Callithrix jacchus: one gene and its partners. The protein of the gene in region 3 binds, or shares a complex with, the protein of the main gene of each other region. Links are inferred from orthologs where the notes say so. Each region holds a gene or a part of one and is shown on either strand. Other genes may lie near its edges. The genes, in order: CFAP107, PACRG and TUBB4B.

What was found.
Region 1: the proteins of TUBB4B (region 3) and CFAP107 are in contact, whole or in part, in a cryo-EM structure (PDB 9CPB), measured with the Bos taurus proteins. The link is inferred for Callithrix jacchus from reciprocal best matches to the Homo sapiens genes TUBB4B and CFAP107. Residues at the interface, in NP_001029835.1 of Bos taurus: Lys19, Glu22, Asp26, Tyr36, Asp39, Ser40, Asp41, Leu42, Gln43, Leu44, Glu45, Glu53, Gly56, Gly57, Tyr59, Pro80, Leu215, Leu217, Thr219, Thr221, Tyr222, Gly223, Asp224, His227, Leu228, Ala231, Gly244, Gln245, Phe270, Pro272; in NP_001033296.1 of Bos taurus: Thr74, Val75, Glu76, Gly77, Leu78, Tyr80, Lys81, Leu83, Ile84, Thr85, His86, His87, Gln88, Glu89, Gln92, Arg93, Tyr94, Leu95, Ile96, Ser97, Thr98, Asp101, His102, Pro133, Pro138, Thr139, Asn140, Tyr141, Leu143, Tyr144.
Region 2: the proteins of TUBB4B (region 3) and PACRG are in contact, whole or in part, in a cryo-EM structure (PDB 7UNG), measured with the Homo sapiens proteins. The link is inferred for Callithrix jacchus from reciprocal best matches to the Homo sapiens genes TUBB4B and PACRG. Residues at the interface, in NP_006079.1 of Homo sapiens: Glu194, Phe260, Pro261, Arg262, Gln291, Phe294, Asp295, Ala296, Arg306, His307, Gly308, Arg309, Tyr310, Val333, Lys336, Asn337, Ser339, Tyr340, Phe341, Gln375, Ser413, Asn414, Asp417, Ser420, Gln423, Gln424, Tyr425, Gln426, Asp427, Glu432; in NP_689623.2 of Homo sapiens: Glu40, Gly41, Phe42, Thr43, Val44, Ala46, Met47, Met48, Val53, Arg54, Gly55, Pro56, Pro57, Ala58, Ala59, Gly60, Ala61, Phe62, Arg65, Lys154, Arg160, Arg162, Arg191, Gln192, Pro195, Asn198, Ile199, Phe200, Asn202, Met203.

Annotation. Positions count from the first base shown.
Region 1 is NC_133508.1:50,637,332-50,647,505, forward strand, and holds the start of CFAP107 (cilia- and flagella-associated protein 107), read left to right. Parts: upstream 1-5,664; 5' UTR 5,665-5,883; coding exon 5,884-5,994; intron 5,995-10,174. UniProt on the Homo sapiens protein: Microtubule inner protein (MIP) part of the dynein-decorated doublet microtubules (DMTs) in cilia axoneme, which is required for motile cilia beating.
Region 2 is NC_133505.1:169,263,121-169,273,294, forward strand, and holds the start of PACRG (parkin coregulated gene protein), read left to right. Parts: upstream 1-4,430; 5' UTR 4,431-4,721; coding exon 4,722-4,877; intron 4,878-10,174. UniProt on the Homo sapiens protein: Microtubule inner protein (MIP) part of the dynein-decorated doublet microtubules (DMTs) in cilia axoneme, which is required for motile cilia beating. Suppresses cell death induced by accumulation of unfolded Pael receptor (Pael-R, a substrate of Parkin).
Region 3 is NC_133502.1:185,646,866-185,656,961, forward strand, and holds TUBB4B (tubulin beta-4B chain), read left to right. Parts: upstream 1-2,934; 5' UTR 2,935-3,011; coding exon 3,012-3,068; intron 3,069-3,369; coding exon 3,370-3,478; intron 3,479-3,559; coding exon 3,560-3,670; intron 3,671-4,103; coding exon 4,104-5,164; 3' UTR 5,165-5,305; downstream 5,306-10,096. Other genes in the region: CIMIP2A (ciliary microtubule inner protein 2A), read right to left, coding at 5,306-5,394, 5,784-5,901, 6,236-6,330, 6,668-6,794, 6,882-7,147, 7,222-7,436, 9,128-9,330. UniProt on the Homo sapiens protein: Tubulin is the major constituent of microtubules, a cylinder consisting of laterally associated linear protofilaments composed of alpha- and beta-tubulin heterodimers.

The DNA of each region.
Region 1 (10,174 bases), on a different chromosome or scaffold from region 3:
TAGAACAATGGATACCAGGGATTCCCAAAGTGGTGAGGGGGAAGGAGGGCAAGTGTTGAAAACCACCTATTGGGTATTATGTTCACTGTGTGGGTGGCAGAATTATTAGAAGCTCAAACTCTAGGACCTTGCAATATTTGCATGTAAAAACCTGTACATACACCCCTGGAACCTAAAATAAAAACGGAAACAAAACAAAAACTGGGCAAAGGACTTGAACAGACATTTCTCTAAAGTAGATATATAAATGGCCAATGAGCACATGACAAGGTGATCAGTACCATTAGCCATTAGAGAAAACTGAAATCACAATGAGATACCTCTTCACCCCAGTGAGGATGGTTATTATTTAGAAAATGAAAAATAACAAGTGTCGGTGAGAATGTAGGGAAATGGGAACCCTCGGGCACCGTGGGTGGGAATGAGAAATGATGCAGACGCTGTGGGAAACAGATCCTTTTATGGTTCATGAACATGATGATTGGGTGTTCACATACGTGTGTGAGACGTGCCACCCTCGAACCATGTCATGACGTCAGCACATAACCCATCTGACCTGAAAAGAAAAAAAAAAGAGAGAGAGAAGAAAACAGTTTTGTGGTGCCAATTTCATTCCTAGGAATCAACTTGAAGAACTGAAAGCAGGGATTCAAACATCTACTTGTACACCAATGTTCAAACCAGCATTATTTACAAAAGCCAAAAGGTGAAAACAAATCAAATGTCCATCCCCAGATGAATGGATAAACTGTGTTAAATACATACAACAGAAATACCATTCAGCCCTAAAGAGGAGTGCGGTTCTGATACATGCTGCAACATACATGAACCTTGACAACATCATCTCGGTGAAAGACAACTGACACAGAAGGACAAGGATTATATGATTCCACTTATATGAGATACCTAGACTAGGCAAATTCACAGAGATAAAGTAGCATAGAGATTACCGGGGGTTTAGGAGAAGGGGAGCATGGGGAGTTATAGCTTAATGGGTATAGAGTTTCTGTTTGGGATGCTGAAAGAGTTGGGGAAGGTGTGGAGCAATGGAAACACCCATACACTCATGGTGGAAATGTAAGTTGATACAACACTCTGGAAAATAATTGGCATTATATAGTACAGTTGGAGACACATAGGCACTCTCTGATGCAGCAATTTCACTCCAAAATATTGATCCTTAGAGCAGTGGGCTTCGAAGTGAGATCCACAGAGGCTTGGAGACCCCAAGTCCCTTCCAAGGGGCCTGTGAGGTCAAAACAATTTTCATAATAATACTGAGATGTTATTTGCCTTTTTCCACAGTGCTGACTTTTTTTTTTTGAGACAGAGTTTCACTCTTGTCATCCAGGTTGGAGTACAATGGCATGATCTTTGCTCACTGCAGCCTCTGCCTCCTGGGTTCAAGCGATTCTCCAGCCTCAGCCTCCCGAGTAGTGGTGCACCACCACTCCCAGCTAAGTTTTGTATTATGGGTAGAGACAGGGTTTCACCATTTTGGGCACCTGTTCTCGAACTCCTGATCTCAGGTGATCCACCTGCCTCGGCCTCCCAAAGTGCTGGGATTACAGGTGTGAGCCACCGCACCTGGCCCACAGTACTGACTTCGATGGTGCAAAAGCATTTGTGGGTAAAATTGCTGGCACCTATGCGCAAATTAAGGTAGTGCCATTAACTGTATTAGTATCATTTATTCTTCACTGCCACATACTCACAGTTTAAACAAAAAAAAAGCAAGTTTGCTTGTGAACCGAGTTAATTAGCCGGGCTTTTTTTTTTTTTTTTTTTTTTAATGAAATACCATACTTACTTGACAGACCATGATTACCTGCAGACAAACCATGATTATTTAAATTTGAAATGTTTTATTTTGTTGTTGTTGTTTGTCTGTTTTTGAGACAGAGTCTTGCTCTGTCACTCAGGCTGGAGCGCTGGAGTGCGATCTTGGCTCACTGCAACCTCTGCCTCCCAGATTCAAGCTATTCTCCTGCCTCAGCCTCCCGATGAAATGTTTTCTTGAAAATAAATGAAGTAAGTCTGTCACTTCAAGGAAAACAATTGAGCTTAGTTGTTGCCAATAACAAAATTGTGTTGCCAATAACAGAACTAGAGCTAGAACTTTGGAAAACTTGCGCCCGCCACTGTGAGCTGGACAGCTTCCTAACAGTTCAGCGCTTTTCTGACGATGTCAGTAAAGATGTTAGCAGATGGGATTTTTTTTTGAGACAGGGTCTCGCTGTGTTGCCCAAGCTAGGTACAGTGGTGCAATCACTGCTTACTGCAGCCTCCACCTTCTGGGCTCAGGCCATCCTCCTACCTCACCTTCCCTAGTAGCTGGGACTACAGGTGTGCATCACCACGCCTGGCTAATTTCTGTATTTGTTTGTAGAGATGTGGTTTTGTCAGGTTGCCCAGGCTGATCTTCAACTCCTGAGCTCAAGTGATTGGCTGGCCTCAGCCTCCCAAAGTGGTGGTATTATAAGGTGTGAGCCACCGTATCCAGCAGCAAGTGTATTTTTTAAAATATGGTGTAGTTTGGAAGATCTACACAGCCTAATAGAGGAGTATTCTCCAGATGACCACCAAAATATATTTTAAATTTCTATTTTAATTTCTTTTTTTTTTTTTGAGACAGGATCTTTCTCTGTCACCCAGACTAGAGTGCAGTGGCATGATCACACCTCCCTGTAGCTTCAAACTCCTGGGCTCAAGGGATCCTCCCATCTCAGCCTCCCTAGTAGCTGGGACTACAGGTGAGCACCACCACACCTGGCTATTTTTTGTGTATAGATATATTTTTAAGAAATGGGGGTTTTACCATGTTGCCCGGGCTTATCTTGCAGACCTAAAGCCAGTTTCAGCCAGCTTATAGAGGCTGTGCAGAAACTCTCTTTGTGTCCTACAGTTCACCTTTGACATAAAGAGCCAAATTCCACCTCATTTAATATTAAAACCTGGCCCACAGTTTGCAAGCTGGTGTCACCAAGAAAGCTCTCCTACTATTTACCCACCCTGGCGGTCTTTTGAGTGACAATCGTGTACAAAACAGTCATAGCAGCCAGGGCTACATGCAACATGGGTGAATCTTTAAAACGTTCACAATATTGGGGAAAAGAAGCCAGACTTGAATAAACAGATACTATAGGATTCCATTTACATGCAATCCACAAACATGCAAAGCTATTTCATGTTTACGAAATATTGTTACGTACATGTGTACGAAACATGTTATGTACATGTTTTTTACGTAACATGTATGAAAGATGTTACGTACATGTTTTTCCACTGTGCATGTGCTCAGTTCCACTCATAAATATGTATAGCTTCCCCCCAAACCTGCTGAATATATATAAATACAGGCCTTGTGAAGCATGAAACCCAACCTGTCCTTCTTCTCTTGGAAGAGAGAATAGCTCTGATCCATGCTGGAGACTATCCGTCTGTGCGGTTTGCAAACTTCCATCACCATTAAAGCTCTTCTTTTTACTATTTAGCCATGCTGGCGGTCTTTTCCATGGCCATGATGAATAAAACATAGTAAACATGACAACATGCAAAATGCGTGAATCTTAAAAACATTAACTTGCCTGGGGAGATCAGACTCAATACTATAGGATTGCACTTGTATGAAAGTCCAGAAATAGGCAAAACTGAACATTATGGTTTAGGAGCATACTTCGGCATTAAGCATATAGAGAAAAGCAAGGAAATGATTGCTATGAAAGTCAAGACAGTGGTTTCCTTTAGGGGAGGAAAGGGTTGTGAGTGGGAGGGACATGTGGAGTACTCTGGGCGCACTGGCAATGTTTTCTTTTCTTTTTTGAGACGGAGTTTCGCTCTTGTTACCCAGGCTGGAGTGCAATGGCGTGATCTTGGCTCACCTCAACCTCCGCCCCCTGGGTTCAGGTAATTCTCCTGCCTCAGCCTCCTGAGTAGCTGGGATTACAGGCATGTGCCACCGTGCCCAGCTAATTTTTTGTAATTTTTAGTAGAGACAGGGTTTCACCATGTTGACCAGGATGGTCTCGATCTGTTGACCTCGTGATCCACCTGCCTCGGCCTCCCAAAGTGCTGGGATTACAGGCTTGAGCCACCGCGCCTGGCCAATGTTTTCTTTCTTGACCAACTCAGTGGTTTTTGTGGGGTTTTGCTATTCCATAATTCAATTATCTGTACATTTATTTATTTTCATTTATTTTTTGAGACGGAGTCTTGTTCTGTTGCCCAGGCTGGAATGCAGTGGTCTGATCTAGGCTCACTGCAATCTCTGCCTTCTGGGTTCAAGCAATTCTCCTGCATCAGCCTCCCGAGTAGTTGGGATTACAGGTGCACACCACCATGCCCAGCTAATTTTATGTATTTTTAGTAGAGTTGGGGTTTCACCATATTGGCCAGGTTGGTCTCAAACTCCTGACCTCGTGATCCACCCTCCTTGGTCTCCCAAAGTGCTGGGATTACAGGTGTGAGCCACCGCAGTCAGCCTGCACATTTATTTGTAATGTACTTTTTGATGTTTGTGTTTCACGTGAGGATGGAATTGAATTATGCCGAACACATGGCTCCTCTGCACGTTAATTAGAAGGACATCGCCTCTTCCTAGCTCCAGCCCTGCCCCCACTGTGGTCTCTGCTAATAAAGGTTTATTCTAATCTGCGGGACGTCTTTCATGGCCTTTTCCTGCCACAGGCTTAGTTTCAAGAAGGAACACGTAGTTTCCTGGAGTTCCAATATTTTTGTTTAAAGGCCATTGGAAACTTGCTCTGAATTTCTCTACTGCAGTAAATCCAGCCTCTTCATTTTTAGCAAGCAATACTACAGCACACAGGGTTTTGGTTATTTAACTTAACTATCTGTTATAGGCATCTTCCTAAATCAGCCTTTAAAACACTTGCCAAGTATTTCATTATATGGATATAGTACAATTTATTGAACCAGCCCTCTGTTGATGGATATCTTGGTGCTTTTTGACTTTTTTTTTTTCCTAATGAATGAGCAAGACAAAGACCCTTATTTCATTGGACTGAGCTCTGTGGAGATGGTGCCCAGGTCTGGTTGCTAATGCATTGCAGCTGCAGCTAAGCACCTGACATAGAATGTGAAATGATTGCGGAATGAATGAATGAAGACTGACCGAATGAACTGTATTATACCAATGCAGACACAAAGATAGAATTCTTTATGCAAGCCCCTGAAAAGTAGCAGACAGGAAATGAAGGGATCCCAGTGGTTTAGGTCTGAACCAGAGTGGATTTAAATCTCTGTGTGGAATTTAAATCTCATCACAACCGCATGACGTTAGGCAGTGACTTAATCTCTTTGCTTCGGCGTACTCGTTAGTAAAATGGGTATAACAGTGGCATCTGTCTCAGAAGGCGGCTGTGAGGATTAAACAGGTGAATGAATGTACATAAATGTCTTTGCTTGGAGCAAGCAAATGAATTAACATTCGTTAAATAGTAGCAGAATCTAACTCATCCCAATTGTAAAAGTGTAGCAAAGATGATGCTGGTATTATAGTGATAACACAGAAACCAGGTTCTTCCGGAGGCTGCCTTTGTGGTGGTGGTTGGTTTGATTTATTTTTGCAAGCTCAATTTTGCTTCTGCAGAATCAGCTGTTCTGTTACAGAGATTATTTATACCCAGAGTCTGTCACCATGGAGATAGTCAACAGTAGAGAATCCAAGATAGATCACCTCTCTCTAGAGGCTGAAAGTGAACCCTTGGGGCCGTTGTATTTTCTGAGGTTAGCAGGGAGCCATCAGGAGGCCAGCTGGGAAGACAAAAAAAAGGCACCCCAAACTCAGCAACTTCATAACACCTTCCTCTCTCCCTAAAACCTTAAACTGTGTCAAGTCAAAGAAACCTGGGGCAAATCCTTATCATGTTTTTCACTGCAGTAAATCCACAACCAGTCTCTACTCCAAGCTGGCAGATCGAGACCAAGTATTCAACAAGAGTGCTCACTGGAAACTGGGTGGAAGAGAGGAGAAAGGTAAGGAAACGAGAGATGTTGGGCAGAGGGCTCAGAGGAAGGACTGATGGGGAGAGGCGGGAGTGAAGTCCATCACTGTTTTCAGATGGAGGGCAGCAGATGATTGCATCTTAAAAATGTGGCATTGGAGTCTTCGTGCTGTACAAAGGATAGTTATATTCAAGCAACCATCAAGTTCCCTACTCTATCTTTAGAATACTGTAGCAGGGTGTCAATATAGTTGTGCTTCTCAGCACTATTCTCAGTGAAGTGTTTCTAGGCATCTATATACGTGCTGTCCCTAATTCTTTTGTACCTTGATGTGAAGAACATTTGCTCTCCTTATCCTGGCCCTTCCCAGAATGTGGTACCTCCTCAGGCCAGCTTGGCATTCTCTGCACTGATGTCCAGGGATGTGCTTGCTGCTCTCTGGCACCTTTCCACAATCTTGCCCTACCAATGCATTTCAATTTTTACCTTCTTTCTTTTTTTTTTTGTTTTGAGACAGAGTCTCGCTCTGTTGCCCAGGCTGAAGTGCAGTGGGATAATCTTGGCTCACTGCAACCTATGTCTCCCGGGCTCAAGCAATTCTCCTGCCTCAGTCTCTCGAGTAACTATAGATGCACGCCACCACACCTGGCTAAATTTTTGTATTTATAGTAGAGATGGGGTTTCACCATGTGGCCAGGCTGGTTTCAAATTTCTGACCTCAAATGATTTGCCTGCCTTGGCCCCCCAAAGTGTTGGGATTATAGGTGTGAGCCACCATGCCCAGCCAATTTTTGCTTTCAAACAGAACAATTAGGCTCTTGGTTTTCCTCTGTGTTATAAAGGTCTTTGGAAAACACCTTGCCTGAGTTGGCAAAGTTTCAAGATGATGTACTTGAAATTGAATATCTTCATTCGTGTTTGGCAAGACTAAGCCATTTAAGTTTTTCAAAGGCATCTACACTTCTCCATGTCTTCTTGGAAAGTGAGCAAGGAAAAGAAGGTGAAATAGAATTGTCAGCTTTGGTATGGAGAAAAGAAGGAAAGTTTAAAGTCTGTTTTTATGGAGAATGTTAGTAATCACCACCTCTCTGGCCAGATACAACCTTTGTTCATCATCAGCAACAACTGTACTTGGCCTTGTTTGGGGAGCAGGTATGTGCAAGAAAAATTCCAAAAGCAAAAAGGACTGGTCAAAAATACCTTCAGGTGCCCATGGGTGATGCACTACTCAGGGACATTATGGGCTGGTCTCACACCTAAGAAGTGAGACTAAGCCACTGAGAAGCTCCAGGTTCTCATTCCCCATGGAAACATTAAAGAAAAAACGTGAAAACGTTATAGGAGCTCTGGAAAACAGTCAAAGATACACAGCAGCCAGCCAAATGCCCAATCAAGAAAAAGGCACATTCAGAATGATAGGAAATTCCATGATGTTTTTACTTACTCTTTTCCCACTACCTCCCCAGCACAGCACAGCATAGTCTGCATTTTAGGGCAAGTGGCAGCTCAGCTCCAAGCTCCCTCTTTCAAATCAGAGTGGGTGGAGCAACATTTGAAACTGTCTGGGGCTGCCTGAGGGATTGCTATTTCATCTGACTTGGAGCTCAGATGGGAGAAGGTGGCATGGTTCAGATCTCAGGCTGGGAAAAGCCATGGAAAGCAATGACAGGCACAGCTAGTGAAAGCTGCCAGGGGATTACAAACCTATAAATACCTGGGGCCAGAGACTATGGGTAGAGGAATACAATAGAACATCTGAAGTCCAAGAAGAAGCAGGGGTGAGACTTTTTCTTGGAAATTAAAACATTTAAAGGCAGCTGTGTATATGGGGGAATTTTAAAAAGCATACCCAGGTCCAGGCAAGATGTACACCAGGCTTGAGAATGCTTTAAGCCTTCATGTTGGGCTGACCCCAAGACTCAGAACATTACCTGCTGGTTAGAAAAGATCTTCCTTTGCAGAGACAGTCTACAGAGACTGGAAGAGTTGGCTGTTTTTCAAATGCCCAATTTTCAACAACAACAAAAAAAACCCCAGACATACAAAGAAATAGAAAAAAAAATGGCTCATCCAAAGGAAGAAAATCAATGGGAGAAGACTTTAAAACAGCTGACTTAAATATGGACAAGTAGCTAAAGGACACAAAGAACCAAAGTAAATAAGGAAAACAATACATGAACAAAATGAGACTATCAAAAAGGAGATTGAAATTTTAAAAAGGAGTCAAACAAGTTTTAAAGCTGAAAAATGCAATAACTAAATTGAAAAATTCAATAGAGGGATTTGACAGCAGATTTGAATAGGCAGGAGCAAGAATCAGCAAATTTAAAGGCAGTGAACAGAGCCTATAGGTCTTATGGGACACTATCAAGCATATTAATATATGCATTAAGGGGATTCCATAAGGAGAAGAGAGAAAAGGGCCAAGAGAGTATTTGAAAAAATAATGAATGAAATATTCCCAAATTTCAGTAAATACATAGATCTACATATCCAAGAAATTCAATGAACTCCAAGTAGGAAAAAATCTAAAGAGACCCTCATTGAAACACTTTATAATTAAAATATTGAAACCCAAAAACAAAGAGAGAATCTTGAGAGCACCATGAGAAAAGTAACTCATCAAGAACAATGGATCCTCAGCAAGATTATTAGGGAATTGGCCAGATGTGGTGGCTCATGCCTGAATCTCAGCACTTTAGGCAGATAAGGCAGGTGGATTGCTTGAGCCTGGAGTTCAAGATCAGCTGGGCAACATGGTAAAACCCCATCTCTACAAAAGATAAAAATTAGCTGGGCACATGGTATATTCCTGTAGTTCCAGCTACTCAGGAGACTTAGGTGGGAGGATCACCTGAGCCTGAGAGGTGGAGTTTGCAGTGAGCCAAAATCATGCCACTGCACTCCAGCCTGGGTGACAGAGTGAGAGTAAAGCCCTGTCTCAAAAAAAAAAAATAATAAATAATAAAAAAGATAATTAGGGAATTTTCTCAGCAGAAACCCTGGAGCCTGGAAGGCCATGGGATAATATATTTGAAGTGCTGATAAAAAAAATACTGTTATCTGATATTTCTGTATTCCACAAAACTGTCTTTTAAAAATGAGGGAAAAGTTAAGCCATTCCCAGATAAACAAAAGCTGAGGGTGTTTATTGACAGTAGACCTAACTTGCAAGGAAGGATTCTCAAAGACAATCCTTGAAGTTGAAATGAAAGGTCATTAGACAGTAACTTGAAGTCATACAAAAATATAAACTTCTCCAGGAAAGGTAAATATGTAGACAAGCATAAAAGCCAGAGTTATTATAATTTTGGAATATAACTCCACTCCTTATTTTTGACAGAATTTAGAAGACGAGTGCATAAAATTATAAATCTATGTAAATGAGTATGCATTATGTAAAGATGTAATTTGTGACTTCAATAACATAAAGCAGAGGGAGGCAGGGCTATAAAAAGAGTAGAGTTTTGGTATGCAATTTAAGTTGGTCACAATTTTTTTTTTAAAAGATGGGGTTTCACCACAATGGCCAGGCTGGTCTTGAACTCCTGACCTCAGGTGATCCACCCACCTCGGCCTCCCAAAGTGCTAGGATTGCAGGCATGAGCCACCGCACCCGGCCAAGTTGGTCACAATTTAAAATATGTTGTTATAACTGTAGAACATTGTATATTATCCCCATGGTAACCACAAAGAAAATGCCTATCAAATATTCACAAAAGAAATAATAAGGGAATCAAAATGTGCCCCTCAAAAATAAAACACAAAAGAAGACAGTAAGAGCAAATAAGGGAGAAAAATCTACAAGACATACAGAAAACAAATACTAAAATGGCAAAAGTAAGTCCTTCCCTATCAGTAATCACTTTTAAATGTAAATGAATTAAACTTCCCAATAAAAGGCAAACATTAGCAGAGAGTTTACAAAACAGGATCCAACCATATGCTGCCTGCAAGAGACTGACTATAGATGGAAGTACACGTGTAAGTTGAAAGTGAAAGGAAGCAGAGATATTTTGCGCAATTAGAGCCAGAAAGGAGTAGGTAGGGCTTGTATCAGACAAAGTAGGCTTTAAGTTAAAAACCATTGTGAGACAAAGAGAGACGTTATCTATTGATAAAAGGGCCAATTCACCAAGAAGGTATAATAATACACATGTATATACACCAAATATTAGAGCTCTGAAATGTATGAAGCAAAAATGGACAG
Region 2 (10,174 bases), on a different chromosome or scaffold from region 3:
CCCTGGCACTTAGAGCAGACCAGGACACATAGCAGGTGCTGGAATCACTGGATCTGCTTTTGTGAAACTGACACATTATGAGAATAGGAAGTTTTCTTCACATATTAATTTGAAAAGTTAAAAGATGCTGCTTTTCATCTGTGAAGAGGGCAAAAATAAATAATCTTTGATGGAGGAAATAGGTACTCTCATACACACTGAAACAAAGGGCAGGGCCACCAAGGACAGTCGTGCAGCTTGTATGCTGAAAGGCACTACATCTGGGTTGGAGAAAGGTAGGGGATTGGAAATCCAGTAGGTGTTCCACTAGTAAAAGCGGAGTCAGTCTCAGGAAGAATGCCTTTTGGAATTTTCAGCCCTGAAAGATAGGGCAGATCTCTACTACCATGTTGCATTAGAGGAGATTTTAGATAGGCTTGTAAAAATAGGGCAATTTTTTTTACAAATTTGGAAAAAACTAGCAAAATTTAAAATCTACAAACTCTTTAACTCAGAAATTGTCATTAAGATTTTTATTTTACATATATGCTTACATATGCAAGTAAAAAGATACGGCCACAAACATTTCAGATAACAGCTGTTTGTAAACCTAATGAGTGTTGATTTATCGATAAGTATTTTCATAATTAGTGCATTCCATAAAAGACTGGGCAGGAATTGCTGTGGAGTGGATCTGTACCTGCAGATGTGTAAATTCTCAAAGAGATGCTAAGTGAAACAAGGTATAGAAGAGACTATCTTCCAATGACTGGTTTTTTTCTCGTTAAAAATCTTAAAGTATAAGACACTAAATGTGTATTTCAATACTGACAACATGTTTGTATATATAACCATGCCCTCTAATATCTGCTGTTACTCAAATACCTAAATCCAGTTCTACGGAATGTTTAGAATAAACCACAAATATCACCACTAACATTCCATTTTAAACACAAAGAACTGCTTATTTTTTAAAAAGTCAACATATATTTTTAATAGCGGTACCAAAAATTACATTTTTATAAGTTGAATTATTTTAGGCATTTTTATTCTGTTTTATATTGTGCTGAAATCCTTCTCCACACTTTACAGAAGGCAAATGTATATATATTTTTTTCGAGACAGAGTTTCGCTCTCGTTACCCAGGCTGGAGCCCAATGCAGCGATCTCAGCTCACTGCAACCTCCACCTCCTGGGTTCAAGCGATTCTCCTGCCTCAGCCTCCCAAGTAGCTGGGATTACAGGCATGCACCACCACACCCAGCTAATTTTATATTTCAGTGGAGATGGGGTTCTCTATGTTGGTCAAGCTGGTCTCGAACTCAGGACCTCAGGTGATCTGCCCGCCCTGGCCTCCCAAAGTGCTGGGATTACAGATATGAGCCACCACGCCCAGCTCACAAAGGCACAATTTTTAACAGACTTTAACTAAATTATGTTTCTGTAGCTGCCTGGATCAGAATATTCAGTGTATCAATCATAATCCACGTGGGAAATGTAAGTATTTTTGAAACAGTCTTCATGCCAAGAAGAAAATCTTTGGTTTTGAGAAAGTCAACAGAAGGTACATTTCATTAGCAGTGAGGTCACAGTCAGTCCTGTTTATTCCTATTCTACCAGGAAATGCATCTTTATGTTTCACCTTAAAGTAAGCCAGAATTTAAATAAAGTGGAAGAGTATTATTTGCATTAAGGCGAGTTTAGCACTTAGAGAAAATGTAGATCTGAAAGGAGCAAGCTTCAAGAAAGCTCTTACCTTTAACAGAAAAACAATCACAGATACATACTATTTAGATTTTGATCTCCAACTGATCACTGGGTAAAGTCTACATTGTCTTTGCTGGCTCTGAATTATCTTCACAAACACACAAAATCCATCACTCCAGGGCTTCCTTTTAATCATTGTCACTTTCACCTACCTTTAGCACTGTTCTCCACACCTAAATCCCAAACCGGCCATTCAGATGTTTATTGAAATGTGTCTAATGAGGCTGGGTGCAGTGGCTCACGCCTGTACTCCCAGCATTTTGAAGGCCCAGGCAGGAGAACTGCTTGAACCCATGAGTTTGAGACCAGCCTGGGCAACACAATGAAACTCCATCTCTACAAAAACTTAAAAATTGGCAGGCATGGCACACACTTGTAGTCACAGCAACTCAGGAGGCTAAGACGGGAGGATGACTTGAGCCCAGGAATTGGAGGTTGCAGTGAGCTGTGATGGTGCCACTGCACTCCAGCCTGGGTGACAGAGCCAGACCGTCTCAAGAAAAGAAAGAAAAAAAAAAGAGGGACGGGTGTCTAATTTCAGAATTAGGCAATGCAATTAGTTGAATAAAATAATGTATTGCACACTGTCCACAATTTCTTATGTAATGTACATTTCCTAAGGAAGGCAGGCATGGATTTAGTCATTTATGTTCTAATGCACACTTACTTGCACTATTTAAAGCAACAGCTGGAGTCGGAGAAAACTTTTTTAAAACCAACCTTCTAGTCTCCAAGTCATTACTGGTAATTGATAACTGTTGAATCATCAGCTCCAAAGATCGTATTTCTTCCTTCTTGGAAGAAGAATTCCAGATAAAACTAAACAGAACTGCCCAAACATATTTCATCCTAATAAAGTTATTTATATAACTTATTAGGTAATAATTTATAACTGGGTAATGTTCTTTAGATTTTAAGTGCCTGTCTTCATATAGCTTTACAATAAGGTTGTTTCTCTTAAAATTATTTGTGCACTAGATTAAGTTGAATTAAAATAAAATGTGTTTAACTGTCTTCAAAATAAGACAGGCTATTTTCTTCCCGTAGACTACTGACAGCACGGATTCTGGAAAACCTCTTCTACTTGGTTTTCTGATTCAGTTCAGATTTGTGATTACAAGTCAATCTGACGTAGACGTCACCTAAAAAGAGCTCAGGAAAACTCATAAAATTTGTAATTTTTTCATAATTTGATAACCTTCAAGTCATTCACCAAAAGTCAGACCATGATAGAAAGGGAAGAAAAGCTGAAGAACATTCTTGTTTTACCACAGAGACAAAGACAATGCCAGTTACCTGACCTGAGTCTCCCACTAATGGGTAGCATGTTTACATTTTAACAATAACTTCATAAACAAAAGCAGATATGAGAAGTATTTTCAGTGCATAAAGATTAATATTTTATAAATCCACCTTTCATCTTTCTTCTGGACAGACCGCATCGGACTCCGAAAGTACTTACTGCAATCCAAAGTGTTTTGTAAGTGACACTCCTCAGGAATTAGCCCTAAACGAGCTCACCAAACCCTCCATACATTACGTGGAGAAACCTCCATAATAAGGACATCTCACATAGCATTGTTTTCTAAACATATGGTGCATTTCCATTAATGTTCAGGGTTAGCCCCTAAAGTAACTTTTGCCTTAACAACCCTGGAAGACAGGACCTTTGCTCATCTCACACTTCAAGTGTTCATGAACAACTCTGATAGCCACCAAGTTTCGTTTACAAAATTGCAGCTCGGTCATTCCGGGTTTTACCAAAAAAATCGTAATTTTGCAAAAGGCAGAAGATGTAATCTCGGCAATTATTTACTCTTAATTTTTCTTTCACCTCAGACCTTCAACGAGAGGTTGAAAAGGAAACATTCGAAGGGGCAAGAAGTTTAGATCCATCTGGAGGAGTTTCTGTGGAGCCCAACCATCCTCACCAGGTGCCTTCCATTAGAGTTTAATGCTTTGCTGGGGTTTCCTGAAAGAGCCCCACAGAGAGTGGGTCTCGATGGGTACTGAACCGCACGACCACCGCCGGCCAGGGGATGGAGGAAGGCGAGGGGGGACGGCGGCGGAGCGAGGGCTTCGGGACCCCGCACGGTCCGAGGGACCGCGAGCGAGGAGAGGGGATGCGGGGCCGACTGGCGTCCCCGGCGAGGCTGTCTTCTCGGTAACGCTCAGAGCGGGAGAGGACGGGGGGCGCTTGGAACACACACATTGGGGCCCCAGGCCGGCGTCAGTGAACTGGGGAGCCCAGCGGCGTGGGCCGGGGTAGGCACGGGCACTTTGGCTCCGTCATTGACAGTTGGCAACGGGGGTCCGGTCGGCCGAGGCGGGGCGTGGCGCCGAACCGGGACGCGGGGCGGCGCAGAGAGGCTGTACCTGGCAGGCACCCACGTACCTAGCATGGTCACTGGGCAGGTGGCTGTTGCGCGACAGACAGGGGGCCTACGCTCGCACGGGCAACCGCCCGCACCTGCCACCAGCGGCTCTCCCGAGTTAAATCGTCCAGGCCTCCCCGCCCCCGCGCCCGGCCCTAACAATGCGCACGCGCGGACGGTACGCGGCCCTGGGCCTGCTGGGAGTCGTAGTTTTAATGCGTAGTTTCTTCTCACGTCTCCTCCCCACGTCCCTACCACCGCCCTTTCCGGCTTCAGGCCCAGGAAGCTTACGTCACAGGGGAGGCGGGCAGAGCCCTGCGCCCACAGTGTTGACCAGTCGCTTAGCAACCGGGAGGCTTACCTTTGGAAGCTTGTTGCAGCTCTAGCCACGGTCCTGCCCTCTTCCCGCCCCGCCCCTCCCCTAAACTCCCTTCACCAAGGAGCTGCCAAACATCTGGATCAACCTGGGCACTACAAAGGGTTGAATTTCTACCATTAACGCGCCTTTTGACATTTTTTTCCCGACCTCCTGCTCACATCCGTAAAATCCACTGATTCTTTTACTACACTTTTTATGAGAACAAGATATTTTCTAGGAAGATGGTGGCAGAAAAAGAGACCCTGAGCTTAAACAAATGCCCAGACAAGATGCCGAAGAGGACTAAGCTGCTGGCACAACAGCCTCTCCCGGTGCACCAGCCTCACTCCCTGGTTTCTGAGGGCTTCACAGTCAAAGCCATGATGAAAAACTCAGTCGTAAGTGATCTTCCTGAATTAAATGCACTTGCTCCGAATCAGGGGACACGAGATTTACAGAGGTTGGCCAGCCATAGGATGGACTCTGAGCCCAAGCCCTGGGTGGTCTTTGCCAAAAATGGCAATTACTTGGCAAGTAGCAGACGGTATCCCACAGCGTGTGGAGGGCAGGCTAAGTTGTTAGAATCTTGGGCAAATGATGTACTCTGCCCATTTATAAGCACCTCCCCGATAGCTCACAGTTTGCGCTATTTACACCAGGAAAAAAATCCCCCTTACTTACTAATTCCTAACTATCCCTACTCAGCGAAGAGCCTTATAGTAGGTGAGTTCTTAGAAATCATAAACTCTTGCAAAATTTAACATGAGCTGATATACAACTGAGCTGATATAAACTCAAGTAATCTATAATAAGAAATTTCTTCTCTTCAACCTAGGAAATTTTAGAATACCCTAGCATTTACTTTTACACTTGGCTCTTACAAAATGATGTCAGCTTGTTAGAGTACTGGAAGCCAACTTAATATGAACACTGTTTCCTGATAGGCCTTTTTAGATGATGTGCTTTAAACAATACAAGCTTTAGCTCATTTATCTCTGCTACTAATACAATTCAAATTTGTCTCTATTATTTGTAGTAATAAAAATAAAATATCTTAGATATCATTAGAGAAAAAAGATTAAAAATACATACAGATATTTTAGCTATATACATGATAGTGTATTTTTTAAAAACCTTCCTATTTTTTAAATAGCTTTACACTTGGTATGCTGAGCCAGATTTTGCTACTTAGTAAGCACCTGTCTGGGAATGAGGCATTAAATAATAAATGCAGCTTTCAAATCGGTATAATTTACACCCTGGGAAGATCTGAGTTATTGCATGACAATTCATTATGTTAAATGAATAGTGTTGTTTTCCAGTGCATTATTTCTTTTGCTTGTATGTTGCAAACCTAATACCTTATTCCTGAACTACATACTTAAAATACATGAATGAAACAGATTACCTATAGACCCCTAGGCCAGATTTGCATGTGGCTGTGCAAAATGATATCCTAATTATTAGAAAATATGTCAGGTGATTTACAGTAGTTAAAATTCTTGGAAATAGACTAAATTTCTGCTTGTTGTAACTAATTCTTTTTCTCTGCTTGTTGTAACTAATTCTTTTTCATGGAATTTCACATAAATTGGTTCTCATAGGAGTCAAGATGACTCATTTATCAGCAATACCAAAACCATTCAAGTTAATCATTTAATTTTTCTTCTACACAATATTTACAATTTTGGTGTTTTTTTAATGTTATACTTTAATATCACAAGTATTTTTTAATGCTGGGTTCTCCTGTTTTTTCCTAAACCTGTCTTCATAATTTTTAGTTCTGCAAAATCTGATGTTACTGTATTGCCAAATGTAATATATATACCTACAAGACTTACAAAATTGATTATGAAGCAGCTTCTTTATAAACAACTTAGTTGAGATCCATTATCTTCTCTTTTTTTATTCTGAAGGAAAATCTCGTACTGGCAATACGTTTCTTGCCATTGGAAATTGTAATGCTTAAATGCGTACATTATTTATCCATTCATCTATTTATTCAGTCAACAATCCTCTCTCTCTATTTTCTTAATACCCAATACTTGCTAAGCACAGTTCTAAGGATTTAAGATCAGCAAAACAAAGTCTCTGCCCTTAGTACTCCAAGGAAAACCGAAGTAACAATCAAATCCTGCTAGAAGAAAGCTAGACAGTACTGTTTCTGTAAAATAACTTCAGTGGTACAGAAAATAAAAATTTTCAATTTCATAACCGATAATTACATTTCACCATATTTACCTTTAGCAGTATAGACTTTTCAGCACTGTAAAGTCAAAATATCCTCATCTCTTTCTGAAGGTGTATTTCTATTCAGGATATATAGGCCCATTTTTAGCTTTTCTTAATTGCAACCTCATGCCCCACAGCCTATACCCTCCAAACCGCTTTTCCAGTTAGATAAGTCACCTTCCAAAGCTCTTCCACCTAAAACGTGAAGAACTGAGTATATCCTATGGAGTTATACAGAGACTCCTGATATTTCTCTGAGCGCAATAGTGATACAAGTACATAAAGTTGGTCATAAATATGTTTCATCAAATGGGCCATGCAAGCAGAAATACTTATTTAAACAGTAAGTCTGAATATGAGTGTGCAAAATTATTGAAAAAGTAGTAAATGTAAATGGCAAATTTTTAAAAATCTCAATATCAACTATAGTTCTTCTATAGAAAGTAGACTCTGTTTCCATGAAATTTTTGTTGCATTCTTTAAGAAAACGAGCATCACAAAAGGCCTGCAATCAAATAATATTCAAATTCACATTTTTATAATGCTTACCTATAGATATAAAAGATATATAATTTGAAGATTTCTTATAGTTCATTTTCCTTTTAAAGGTCTTGTTTTGAGTGCAATAGAGCCCATGACCAGAGACTAGTAAGCCAGCATTGTGTGGTCTGTATCTTGCCAGGTGCTTTCTGTGCTAAACCAGCTTATCATGAGCAAATTCGAAAATCGACCCAAGTTTACAGTGACAGAGAAGTTGAATTCAGCCGAAGCTTGCTATTACAGCTTTCCTTCTCAGTAGACTATAGATGCTTTATGCTTAAAGTTTGGGGGAATGGAATAAATATTTTCTTTAATATTAAAGGTTGAGTATTCCTATTCCAAAAGTCTGAAACCTGAAATGGTCCAAAATATGAAAGTTTCTGAGTGCTGACCTTACACTAAAAGGAAATGCTATTTTGAGCATTTGGATTTCAGATTTTTAGAATTGGCATGACAACCAGTATATAATACAGATATAGTCAGCCCTTTGCATATATTCCGCCTCCATGGATTCAACTAACCTTGGATTGAAATGTTTGGGACAAAAATTTTATCTGTATTGAATATGTACAGACTTTTTATTTCTAATAATTATTCCCTAAACAATACAGCATAGCAGCTATTTACATAGTGTTCATATTGTTTTAGCTATTATAAGTAATATAGACATGATTTAAAGTATATGAGGAAATGTGTAGGTTATATACAAATACTATGCCATGTTATATCAGGGACTTGAGCATCTGCAGATTTTGGTATCTGCAGGAGTTCCTGGGAGCAATTCCTCATGGAGACTGAGGGATGACTGTATGCCAAATTTGAACAAAAAACAAAAACAAATCCAAAAGACTTCTGGTCCTAAGCGTTTCAGATAAGGGATAGTTCAAACTGTACTTTACAGTATAATGTGTTTTATATTTACCAGTCATATACTCATTTAACACATAGTGGTAATCATCAATGTTTATAAATTGTGTATTAAAATATTAATTTGGCTGCTTTAACAGAGACCAAATAACAATAGCTTAATTAAGATGGAAGTCGTTTCTGTCATAATAGAAGTTCAAGTTTGTAAGCAATCCCAGGAGGTTAGGCAGCATTTCCCCGTGAGGTAGGTGCAGGGGCATAGAAGCGTGTTTGTGCTTTGTATACTATAAAATGACACCTGAGACAAGCTGGGCTCAAGACCACGAGGGTCAGACACCTGCCCTCAGGAAGGAGGAAAGTGGAAGCAGAGAGCTTCCCATTATGGTCATGATCCAGACACAGCACCCCAGTTTCATTCTCGTCGAACTGGCCAGAACTTAGTGATACACCTACATGTTCCCTTTTGGCAAAATTGTACGAAAGCTTGACCCATGAAGCAACTCCCAGGTCCACATACCTGTCTCCTCAGGAAAAGGATGAAGAAAGCTACGTAGTTCCCAAAGGGCATCATCTCTAACACCTGCTTCAGGTAGGGGAGAGAAAAATGGGTACAGAGCAACCTGCAAGAATTAGGCAGGAAGAAATGAAGAGCAAGCAGCTTCATTATGAGGGCATGTCCCAGAAACAGCAATCTTCATTCCTGCTCAAATCCATTGCTAAAACCTAGTCTTACAGCCACAGCTAGTACAAGAGAGGCTGCGACATGCAGTCTTTAACTGGTAGCCCTGTGTCCAGTTCAAACTTGCAATGTTTTATTACTGTAGTGAAGGAATATTGGGGGATAACTAGAAGTGTCTAGGTCCGGTGCTAAATGTGCTATATTATTAGTGAAGAAAAAGAGAGAGACAAGTAAAATAATTACAATACAAATAAGTAGATATTTCTGGTAGAGAAGTACTAATGATGAAGGGACCACGTGGCAATAAACTAATGGGGTCTCTCATCACCTTTTGTCTAGGTTTGTACAATATCTTTCACCCATCAATTGGCTGACTCCCTCAATCAATTATCAGTACGATTACACTAATCTTTCCAGTACAGTGTTCTGCTCCTATCACTACTCAGAGCTTTTGGAGCTTCCCAGTTTTTTTTGTTTTTTTTTTTTTTTTTGAGACGGAGTTTCGCTGTTGTTACCCAGGCTGGAGTGCAATGGCGCGATCTCGGCTCACCGCAACCTCTGCCTCCTGGGTTCAGGCAATTCTCCTGCCTCTGCCTCCTGAGTAGCTGGGATTACAGGCACGCGCCACCGTGCCCAGCTAATTTTTTGTATTTTTAGTAAGACGGGATTTCACCATGTTGACCAGGATGGTCTCGATCTCTTGACCTCGTGATCCACCCGCCTCGGTCTCCCAAAGTGCTGGGATTATAGGCGTGAGCCACCGCGCCCGGCCCAGTAGCTTCCCAGTTCTTATAGAAAAATGTCATGATACTTCCCAAGGGCCAGCAATATCTTCTGTGATCTAATCCCATTCTGTGGTTTTAATTTTTTATTTTTTTTCTTTAAATTTTTAAAAAATATTTTATTGTATTTTAGGTTTTGGGGTACATGTGAAGAACATGCAGGATTGTTGCATAGGTAGATACATGGCAATGTGGTTTCTGCCTTCCTCCCCATCATCATTCTGGCATTTCTCCCCATGTTATCCCTCCCCCAACTCCCCACCCCCAACTGTCCCTCCCCTAGTTCCCCCTCACAGACCTCAGTGTGTGATGCTCCCCTCCCTGTATCCACATGTTGTCGTTGTTCAACACCCACCTATGAGTGAGAACATGCGGTGTTTGATTTTCTGTTCTTGTGTCACTTTGCTGAGAATGATGGTTTCCAGGTTCATCCATGTCCCTACAAAGGGTACAAACTCATCGTTTTTTATGGCTGCATAGTATTCCATGTCGTATATGTGCCACATTTTCCCGGTCCAGTCATCATCTCCCACTGTTCTCATTTGCTTCTGTCAATCTGAACCCAGGAAATAAACTCACATTCCTTATTTTTTGT
Region 3 (10,096 bases):
GTCCCACACTATCCCGCCTCTCCACCCTCCAGCAGGCCTAATTTATTCTTTTAAAAACATTACAAAAATACAGCCGGGCATGGTGGCTCACGCCTGTAATCCCAGCACTTTGGGAGGCCGCAGTGGGCAGATCACCTGAGGTCAGGAGTTCAAGACCAGTCTGACCAACATAGTGAAACCGACTCTACTAAAAATACAGAAATTAGCTGGTGTGGTTACTCTGGAGGCTAAGGCAGAAGAATCACTTGAACTTGTGAGGAAGAAGTTGCAGTGAACCAGCTGGGAGTGGTGGCTCACGCCTGTAATCCCAGCACTTTGGGAGGCCGAGGTGGGTGGATCACGAGGTCAAGAGATCCAGACCATCCTGGTTAACATGGTGAAACCCCGTCTCTACTAAAAATACAAAAATTTAGCTGGGCATGGTGGCACGTGCCTGCAATCCCAGCTACTCGGGAGGCTGAGGCAGGAGAATTGCCTGATCCCAGGAGGCGGAGGTTTCGGTGAGCCGAGATTGCGCCATTGCACTCCAGCCTGGGTAACAAGAGCGAAAGTCCGTCTCAAAAAAAAAAGAAGTTGCAGTGAACCGAGATGGTGCCACCACACTCCGGCTTGGTTACGAGAGCACAGCTCAGTCTCAAAAATAAATACAAATACAAATACTACAAAAACACAGCTGGGTGCAATGGCTCACATCTGTAATCACAGCACTCCAGGAGGCCAAGGTCAGGAGCTCAAGATAGGCCAACACAGTGAAACCCTGCCTCTACCAAAAACACAAAACACAAACAAGGCTGGGCACAGTGGCTCATGCCTGTAATCCCAGCACTTTGGAAGCCAAGTTGGGTGGATCACGAGGTCAGGAATTCAAGACCAGCCTAGCTAAGATGGTAAAATCCCATCTCTACTAAAAATACAAAAAAATTAGGCAGGGCATGGTGGCGGGAGCCTGTAATCCCAGCTACTTGGGAGGGTGAAGCAGAGAATTGCTGGAACCCAGGAGGCGGCCATTGCAGTGAGCCAAGATTTCGACACTGCATTCCAGCCTGGGCAACAGAGAGTCTGTCTAAAAATAAATTAAATAATTAGCCAGGCATGGCGGTGCACACCTATAGTCCCAGCTACTTGGGAGCTGAGGCAGGAGAATCGCTTGATCCCAGGAGGTGGAGGCTGCAGTGAGCCAAGACCACACGTTGCACTCCAGCCTGGGTGACAAGAGCAAAATTCCATCTCAAAAAAAAAAAAGGAAGGCCGGGCGCGGTGGCTCACGCCTATAATCCCAGCACTTTGGGAGGCCGAGGCAGGTGGATCATGAGGTCAAGAGATAGAGACCATCCTGGTCAACGAGGTGAAACCCCGTCTCTACTAAAAATACAAAAACTAGCTGGGCATGGTGGCGCGTGCCTGTAATCCCAGCTACTCGGAAGGGTGAGGCAGGAGAATTGCTTAAACCCAGAAGGTGGAGGTTGTGGTGAGCCGAGATCGTGCCATTGCACTCCAGTCTGGGCAACAACAGCAAAACTCCGTCTCAAAAAAAAAAAAAGAAAAGAAAAGAAAAAAGCTACAAAAATACAGAAGGCACAGTAGCTCTTGCCGGTAATCCCAGCACTTTGGGAGGCCGAGACGGTCAGATTACATGAGGTCAGGAATTTGAGACCAGCCTGGCCAACGTGGTGAAACCCCAGCTCTACCAAAATTACAAAAATTAGCGGCATGGTGGTGGGTGCCTGCAGTCCCAGCTACTGGGGAGGCTGAGGCAGGAGAATCTTTTGAACCTGGGGGGCCGAGATCGTGCCCCAAAATAACAATAATAAAATAAGCAAAATAAAAATGCTAGAAAAATACAGCGCATCTGTTTTCAAGCAGACTGATTAAAGGTGGGACCACACGCGATTCATAATTTTTCCTACCCAAGTAGAAATCAAGTCACAAACTGGGAAAAGCATTAACGGAAGTATCACTTAGCCCCAGCGCGCCGACCCGCGGTTGGAAGACCCGCCCTGGAGCCCGGGGCCACCTGCCGACGGAGAAGCTCGCGCATTCCGGGGGCAGAGGCTCCAAGGAGACCGGCGCAAGGCCAGCACCGTCTCCACAACAGAGCAGGGCGCGCGGCTGCGGGGAGGCCTCTGCCCTCCGCTCCCCTCCCCCCATGTGCTCCCTTCACCCGACCGCGAGGGCAGCGGGCGTGCGGGACGCGGCAACAGGAAGGCCCACGACCTCCGCGACTCTGCAGGGAGCTCCCCTCGGGGCCGCGGCCTCCGAGCCCGGGTATCTTCCGGCCTTGAAGGCACCGCAGCTTCCGCAGCCTGGAAGCCCTGGGCTCGCTCCGTGCGGACCCCGCTCCCGAACCCACCCGGCGCCCAGATGCCGTGTCCCGGGGCAAGGCCAGCGAGGGTGCAACACCGGACGCTGGGCCGCCGCAGGCTTGCCCTTCCCGGCTCCCGAACTGCGTTCCCGGGCTGCGAGCCAGGGCTGCGCCCGCCCCAAACCCGCCCGGCTCGCCCTCCCCCACCGCTCCCCGCGCAGCTGCCCGCCGCCCGACCGGAAGCCTGCGCCCGCGCCTGCGCCCCACCCCTCCGCGCGCCTCCCGCGGCACTGCGACGGTTACCAGGACGCTGACCCCGCGCAGCCAATAGCGCCAGCCTGACGGCGTGCTCCCGGGAACCAGCCAATGACAGAGCAAATCAATCATTTGAAACACCCAATGGACGGAGCACTGCAGCACCAGGTGGGGGGATTGTGATAGGGAGATCGGAGGCTGCGGCTGACCAATAAAGACCAAACGGGGTTAAAAAGGCGGACCTTAGGCAGGTTGATTGACAGGAATGCGACCAATCAAACGAGGGAGCTTTCCAGCCTCGTTCTGGCAGCCAAATCCGAGGCTGGCGGAGGCGGGCGCAGAGAGTATATAAGCATTGGCGGAGCGTCGGTTGTAGCAGTCTGCGCGCCTGCTTCTCCGCTTGTTTCGCTGTCTTTCTATTCTCGTCGCTGTCGCTGTCGCCGTCGCCGCCATCATGAGGGAGATAGTGCACCTGCAGGCCGGGCAGTGCGGCAACCAAATCGGCGCCAAGGTGAGCTGCCGGGGCGCTGGGGCCGGCGCGGGCCAGCCGGGCGAGGCGGCCGGGCGGCCCGGGAAGATGGCGGCAGCGGCGGGCGGCGCCCCCGCATTGCGGTCGCTGGGCCCTTGGCGCGGGGACCGGGCTGAGCCGGGCGGCCGGAGCCCCCAGGAACCTGGCGGCTGGGGCGCGTGGCGCAGGGGGAAGGGCGGGGAGGGCCGGGCTGCCGCGCCCGTCCGGGGCGGGGCTGCCTCCCTACACACCGGCCGCGGTGACTCAGCCCCGGGCCTCCCGGGCCCGCCCGCGTCCCTTGCAGTTCTGGGAGGTGATCAGCGATGAGCACGGCATTGACCCCACGGGCACCTACCACGGGGACAGCGACCTGCAGCTGGAGCGCATCAACGTGTACTATAACGAGGCCACCGGTGAGGCCCCAGCCCCTTCCCCGACCGCCCTCCCTGGACCCCGCGGTCCCTGCCCTGGCTGACGCCCTCCCGTCCCCGCAGGCGGCAAGTACGTGCCCCGCGCAGTACTCGTGGATCTGGAGCCCGGCACCATGGACTCCGTGCGCTCTGGGCCCTTCGGGCAGATCTTTCGGCCGGACAACTTCGTTTTCGGTGAGCCGCGGCTGGGAGCTGGGCGGCGGCTCAAAGGTCAAGGGGCGGCTGCAAGGGCACCGCGGTGGGAACTGCGCGGCCAGGGCCCCTGGATCCCTCCTTTCCTGAGCCGCTCAATCTCCTCTTCTAAATCGGCTTTGGGAGCAAGGTCCAGCTGTCTGCCGAGGCGAGGAGCCGCCGCCCACATAATCTCCCTGCAGGGAGCTGACCTGGGGGCAATGTCGGCTGCTCTGTCCTTGGAAATTGGCAGGGCTCCTGACTTCGTTTTGACCCGGCAGGCTGCCGATCTTTCGCTTTGAGGGTCCCTTTGCTCTACCTGCAGGGTGGATTCTGCGGTCAGCCCACACCACGTGCTTGGCTTTTTTCCCATGGTGTTTGTGACCAGTAGTGCTATCTACCTGGCTAACAAGTGACTAGCTGTGTTCTCTCTCAGGTCAGAGTGGTGCTGGGAACAACTGGGCCAAGGGGCACTACACGGAAGGCGCAGAGCTGGTGGACTCCGTGCTGGACGTTGTGCGGAAGGAGGCTGAGAGCTGTGACTGCCTGCAGGGTTTCCAACTGACCCACTCCTTGGGTGGGGGGACTGGGTCTGGGATGGGTACCCTCCTTATCAGCAAGATCCGGGAGGAGTACCCAGACAGGATCATGAACACGTTCAGTGTGGTGCCCTCCCCCAAGGTGTCAGACACGGTGGTGGAGCCCTACAATGCGACCCTCTCAGTCCACCAGCTTGTAGAGAACACAGACGAGACCTACTGCATCGATAACGAAGCTCTCTACGACATCTGCTTCAGAACCCTCAAGCTGACAACGCCTACCTACGGGGACCTGAACCACCTCGTGTCTGCCACCATGAGTGGGGTCACCACCTGCCTGCGCTTCCCAGGCCAGCTCAATGCTGATCTGCGCAAGCTGGCCGTGAACATGGTTCCGTTTCCCCGCCTGCACTTCTTCATGCCTGGCTTTGCCCCGCTGACCAGCCGGGGCAGCCAGCAGTACCGGGCCCTGACAGTGCCCGAGCTCACCCAGCAGATGTTTGATGCCAAGAACATGATGGCGGCCTGCGACCCCCGCCATGGCCGCTACCTGACGGTGGCCGCTGTGTTCAGGGGCCGCATGTCCATGAAGGAGGTGGATGAGCAAATGCTTAATGTCCAAAATAAGAATAGCAGCTACTTTGTTGAGTGGATCCCCAACAACGTGAAAACGGCTGTCTGTGACATCCCGCCTCGGGGGCTAAAAATGTCTGCCACCTTCATCGGCAACAGCACAGCCATCCAGGAGCTGTTCAAGCGAATCTCAGAGCAGTTCACCGCCATGTTCCGGCGCAAGGCCTTCCTGCACTGGTACACGGGTGAGGGCATGGACGAGATGGAGTTCACCGAGGCCGAGAGCAACATGAATGATCTGGTGTCCGAGTACCAGCAGTACCAGGATGCCACAGCTGAGGAGGAGGGCGAGTTTGAGGAGGAGGCAGAGGAGGAGGTGGCCTAGAGCCTCCAGTCACCAGGAAAGCAGGGAAGCGGTGTGAACTCTTTATTCACTCCCAGCCTATCTGGCTTGTCCCGCTGCGTGTGCACCTGCTGTTTTCCCTTTCATGCGCCATGCTGTACAGACAACACCATTAAAGCTGTTTCATAGTGTGTGGTCTCGCCGTGCCTGTTCCTTCCAGTAGGCCTTCCGGGTGCTGTTGCCAAACGTCAGCGCGTAGTTGTCCTGCATGGCTGTGGGGACCGAGGGTGCTGCTGAGCTGGGCTTTTCACATGCCAGGGACCAGCATAGGCTGGAAACTGGGCTTCAGAAGAGTGTGGGGCTGCTCTGGGCATCTGCTTCCTGAAGCAAGCCTGGCCTGTCCTGGGTACCAAACCTTAGGGGGCCAGGTGGCCTGAATCTGGGCATTATTAGGAGAGCCCAGTAACCCCCATCCAAAAGGGACAGAGAGAATGGCCAACAATCCTACCACAAGATGGAACCCAGGAACTGGCCAGACAGGTGGTTCCAAACCAGCAGTGAAGGGTGGACAGCTTGAGCCCCAGCCACCCCTCCCCACAATGGCCAGCATGTGTCTGTGTGACCCTGTCCTAAGAAGCTGGGCATGGGGTCCTGTACTCACAGGGGATGAACCCCATGTAGAAGGGGATCAGGCCTTGACTGCTGTAGATGTGGTTGTTAGGCCAGTGTGTTTCCAGAAGCTTCTCCCCCAGGTCACAGTGGGGGTTTCTGAACAGGAACTGGGAGACAGGCAGGTACTAAGGAGCTGCCTCCCCCAAGGGCAACCAGACCACACAGTGTCCCCCTGGTGGGGGCGGGGGCCGGCACTCCCCGTGGGAAAGCTGCTCATGCTCCCAGCCTCCTGCATCCCCACCCCACACTCCAAAACTTTAGTGCAGGGATCCAAGATTCAGGAGAGGGCGTTGGGGCGCCCCCTCTGCGTACAGGAGAGCCAGGCAGAGCCCCCTCCCCAGGCTTTGCAGGGAACCTGGCCTTCAAGGCCCCTCCAGGGAAGCTGCCAGACTGGAAGAAGTTGTGTGAGCTGGGAGCAGGTCTGGGACGGCGCTCTCCTACCTGGCTCTTGTCGAACTCGTCCATGGCCTGTGCGACGCCGTCTCGGTAATTTACCCCCATTACCCAGGAGAACCGGGGAATGAAGCCAGCATAGCCTGGGGTGGGCAGTTGTGCAGGTCCTACTCAGGCCCTTTGACCTTCCCCTGGCCATACCCACCTCCCCAGACGCATCAGGGAAGCCACGTAAGGCTCTCTTTCCTTTCCTGGATGTTGGCGACTGCCTGCTGTGGCCAAATGGGAAGAGGCAGGCAGGACAGCACCTCCTTCTGGGAAAAGCTGGACTCCTGGAAGCAGCAGGAAGCAGAGGAGGTCCCCCCAGCCTGCTAACCCATTCCAGAGCAGGAAAAGCGGCCCTTGTGGCAGCCTGACGGGCCCTCATTCCTGGAACCTTGTGGGGAGGGACGTCCTCGTCCAGCCCAGCCCTGCGCCCACCTGCGATGGCCTTGCGTTGGATTAGGTTGGGGTGGTCCAGCTGTGGCAGCCGCTGGAACCTGCACACATCTAGTGTCTCCTGCTGGTGAGTGTGGGGTGGGTACTCGTCCCTCCGGCAGTGGTACAGCTGCAGTGGGGAGGGCAGAGGTCGTCCTGCAGCTCCCATCCAGGGCCGAGCTGGAGTGCGCTTGGCACTGACCAGTGCATCCTGTACCTGCTGCTGCTGCCTTCGGGCCTCACAGACAGGGGCGGCGTTCCTCCAGGCCTCTTCCCTGAAGGCCAGCCGCAGGCCTGGGTATCCCGAGTCTCTGGAGTCCCCCTTCCTGCCTGGTGGGCACAGTGGGTGGGGGGGGTAGGGCATGACACCTGCAGGCAGCAGAAGGTGTCTGGGTATGTTCTCTACCCCTGGTGGCTCCTGGGCGTCCACATCCAGGGGTGGCAGCTGGCCTCGGATCTCAAAGTTCTTGTAGGGCTTCAGACCTGTAGACAGGGCAGCCTGTGAGTGCCGGGACAGGCGGGCGCGGGCAGGTGTGGGGCTGGGGATGGCAGCTCACTGGTGTAGTGGGGAACGTAGGGCTCAGTCAGGTCTCGGCAGGGAACCCAGGGAGGCCTGGACTGGCTGAAGTCCTCAATGAACTTGGGCTTGGACATGGGGGACAGCACAGAACAGGGGCTCTTCTGCACGCTGGGGTCTGTGAGCAGCTGGCCTGTGGTGCGCCCGTAGGTGTTCCCCACCTGGAAGCGCAGCTGCGGGTAGAAGCCGGCATAGCTGTGATGGGAGAGAGGAGGCAGGGCAGGGCTCAAGGGCAGCCCAGTGCTGCCCAGGGCCCATCAAGCCAGGCGGGGGTCCAGCCTGCCCACCACTGAGCAGCGGCTTGGCCCTCGGCAGGTCCCCTGCCCTCTGCTTATCTGCAAATGGGACTGCAGAGGCACTTGCCTTCTGGGGCTGTCGTAGTCTGAACAGGCAGTGCACAGCACATGCTGGGGACGAGTCAGCAGCACCACAGCAGATGGCTGCTGGCCTTGTACAGGCTACGACAGCCTTCCAACCCCTCCCAACCCTCATCCCAACGGCCAACGAGTCAGGGGTTCTCTGCCCTGGCAGAGCAAATTCAGGCGCAGGACATGTGGGCCAGGGCCTAGGCAAGGGGCGGCCCCCTGAACACAGGCTGGGCCCGCCAGGAGTGTGTGCGGTGGGCTCAGCCTGCCCCTGCCACCCCAGGAGGTCAGTGGTGTCTCACAAGGACCAGGGCTGGGGCTAGGCTTTTTGGGGCCTTCATTTGGCCCATGGGGCATGTTGCAGGTGGTGCAGGCGGTTCAGCTCCTCAGGGCCTGCATAATCACTGAAGGACTGAGAACTGCCTTTGTTTCAAAAATTGCCAACGGGCCGGAGCGGTGGCTCACACCTGTAATCCCAACACTTTGGGAGGCCTAGGCGGGCTGATCCTGTGAGGTCCGGAGTTCAAGACCAACCTGACCAACATGATGAAACTCTGTCTCTACTAAAAATACAAAATTAGCTGGCCATGGAGGCTCATGCCTATAATCCCAGCTACTCAGGAGGCTGAAGCAGGAGAATCACATGAACGGGGAAGCGGAGCTTGTGGTGAGCTGAGATCATGCCATTGCACTCCAGCCTGGGCAACAAGAGTGAAACTTCATCTCAAAAAAATAAAAAATAAATAAAGTATGAGTCACACCTATACAGTGGCTTACGCCTATAATTCCAGAACTTTGGGAGGCCAAGGCAGGTGGATCACGAAGTCAGGAGTTCTAGACCAATCTGGCCAACATAATGAAACCCCCTCTCTACTAAAAATACAAGAAAATGTAGCTGGGTGTAGTGGTGTGCACCTGTAATCCCAGCTACTCAGGAGGCTGAGGAAGGAGAATTGTGTGAACCCCAAAGGCGGAGGCTGCAATGAGCCCAGATCACATCATTGCACTCCAGCCCGGATGACAGGACGAGACTCCATCTCAAATAAACTAATAAATAATTTAAAAAAAACATAAAGGGCTGGGTGCACTGGCTCACGCCTGCAATCCCAGCACTTTGGGAGGCCAAGGTGAGCGGATCACCTGAGGTTGGGATTTCGAGACCAGCCTGACCAATATGGTGAAAACCTGTCTCTTAAAAAAAAATTATATATATTTATATACAAATAGGAACTAAAGTGTGGAGTTCTCTACAGAGTGGGCATCAGGCACCTCCTAGCTGGCCTGCACCCGCTGCTTGGCTGCCCTGGTTTCTGATCAGCAGACGTGTGGCCACCTGGCGTGGTGTTTGCAGTGGTGCACCAGCAGGGAGGGTGAGGGCTGGGCCTCTGGCAGCCCCATCCCTGAGCGTCCCGTGTCCCAGGCCAGCTCTGGGCCCCTCACCGCTGGTTTCCATGCCTCAGGCCCCAGCCCTGCTCCCCTCCTGCAGCCCTGGCTCAGCCCCTCCAGAGCTCCCGGTCTTACCCAGGGATGTAGTGTGGCTCTGGCGTGAGGAGGCTGTGTTTCTGAGTCGCTGTCATTTTGCTTCCACTCTGGCCTTGCTGGCTCCCGTCCCTTCCGGTGTCCAGTCCCCTTCTCTGAGGGGAGTCCCGTTGCTGGGCAACCATTGTGAGGGGCCAGCATTGTGGGCACCTCGCTGCACAGGTGACACACAGAGGCCGAGACATGTGCCAGTCTGGAGAGGGGTCACAGTGAGGCAGGGGGCCTGTGAGGAAGTCCCATTAACTTCAGGGCTGAGAAAACAGGACTGACCCTCCAGGAAGGGCCTGAGCTCTTGGGGCCCCCAGGAGACCAGCAGCCCCTGCCTCCAGGTGAGGCGACGGGAGCCTCCAGAACCCTCCTCTGACAGGATGCCCTTGCAACTGCAGGGCCTCGGAGCCTTGGCTGGGGTCAGGGGCTGCCTGACCTGCAGGGCTGAGTCGACTCTCCCTCCAGTGGGCCCTTCATGCAGGGCAGGGCATTGCGCTTACATTTTAAACAAATCCTGAATTTTATTCTTTTCTACAGGAAGTACTTCCTAACCATAAAAATGAAGTAAGGTGGCCGGGTGCGGTGGCTTACACCTGTGATCCCAGCACTTTGGGAGGCCAAGGCAGGCGGATCACCCAAAGTCAGGAGTTCAAGACCAGCCTGATCAACATTGTGAAACCGTTTCTACTAAAAATACAAAAATTAGCCGGGTGTGGTGGCAGGAGCCTGTAGTCGTAGTCAAAGCTACCTGGGAGGCTGAGGCAGGAGAATCACGCCTGAACCAGGGAGGTGGAGGTTGCAGTGAGCTGAGATCACGCCACTGCACTCCAGCCTGGGTGAAAGGAGACTGTCTCAAAAAAAAAAAAAAAAGGGCCGGGCACGGTGGCTCACGCCTATAATCCCAGCACTTTGGGAGGACAAGGCGGGTGGATCACGAGGTCAAGAGATCGAGACCATCCTGGT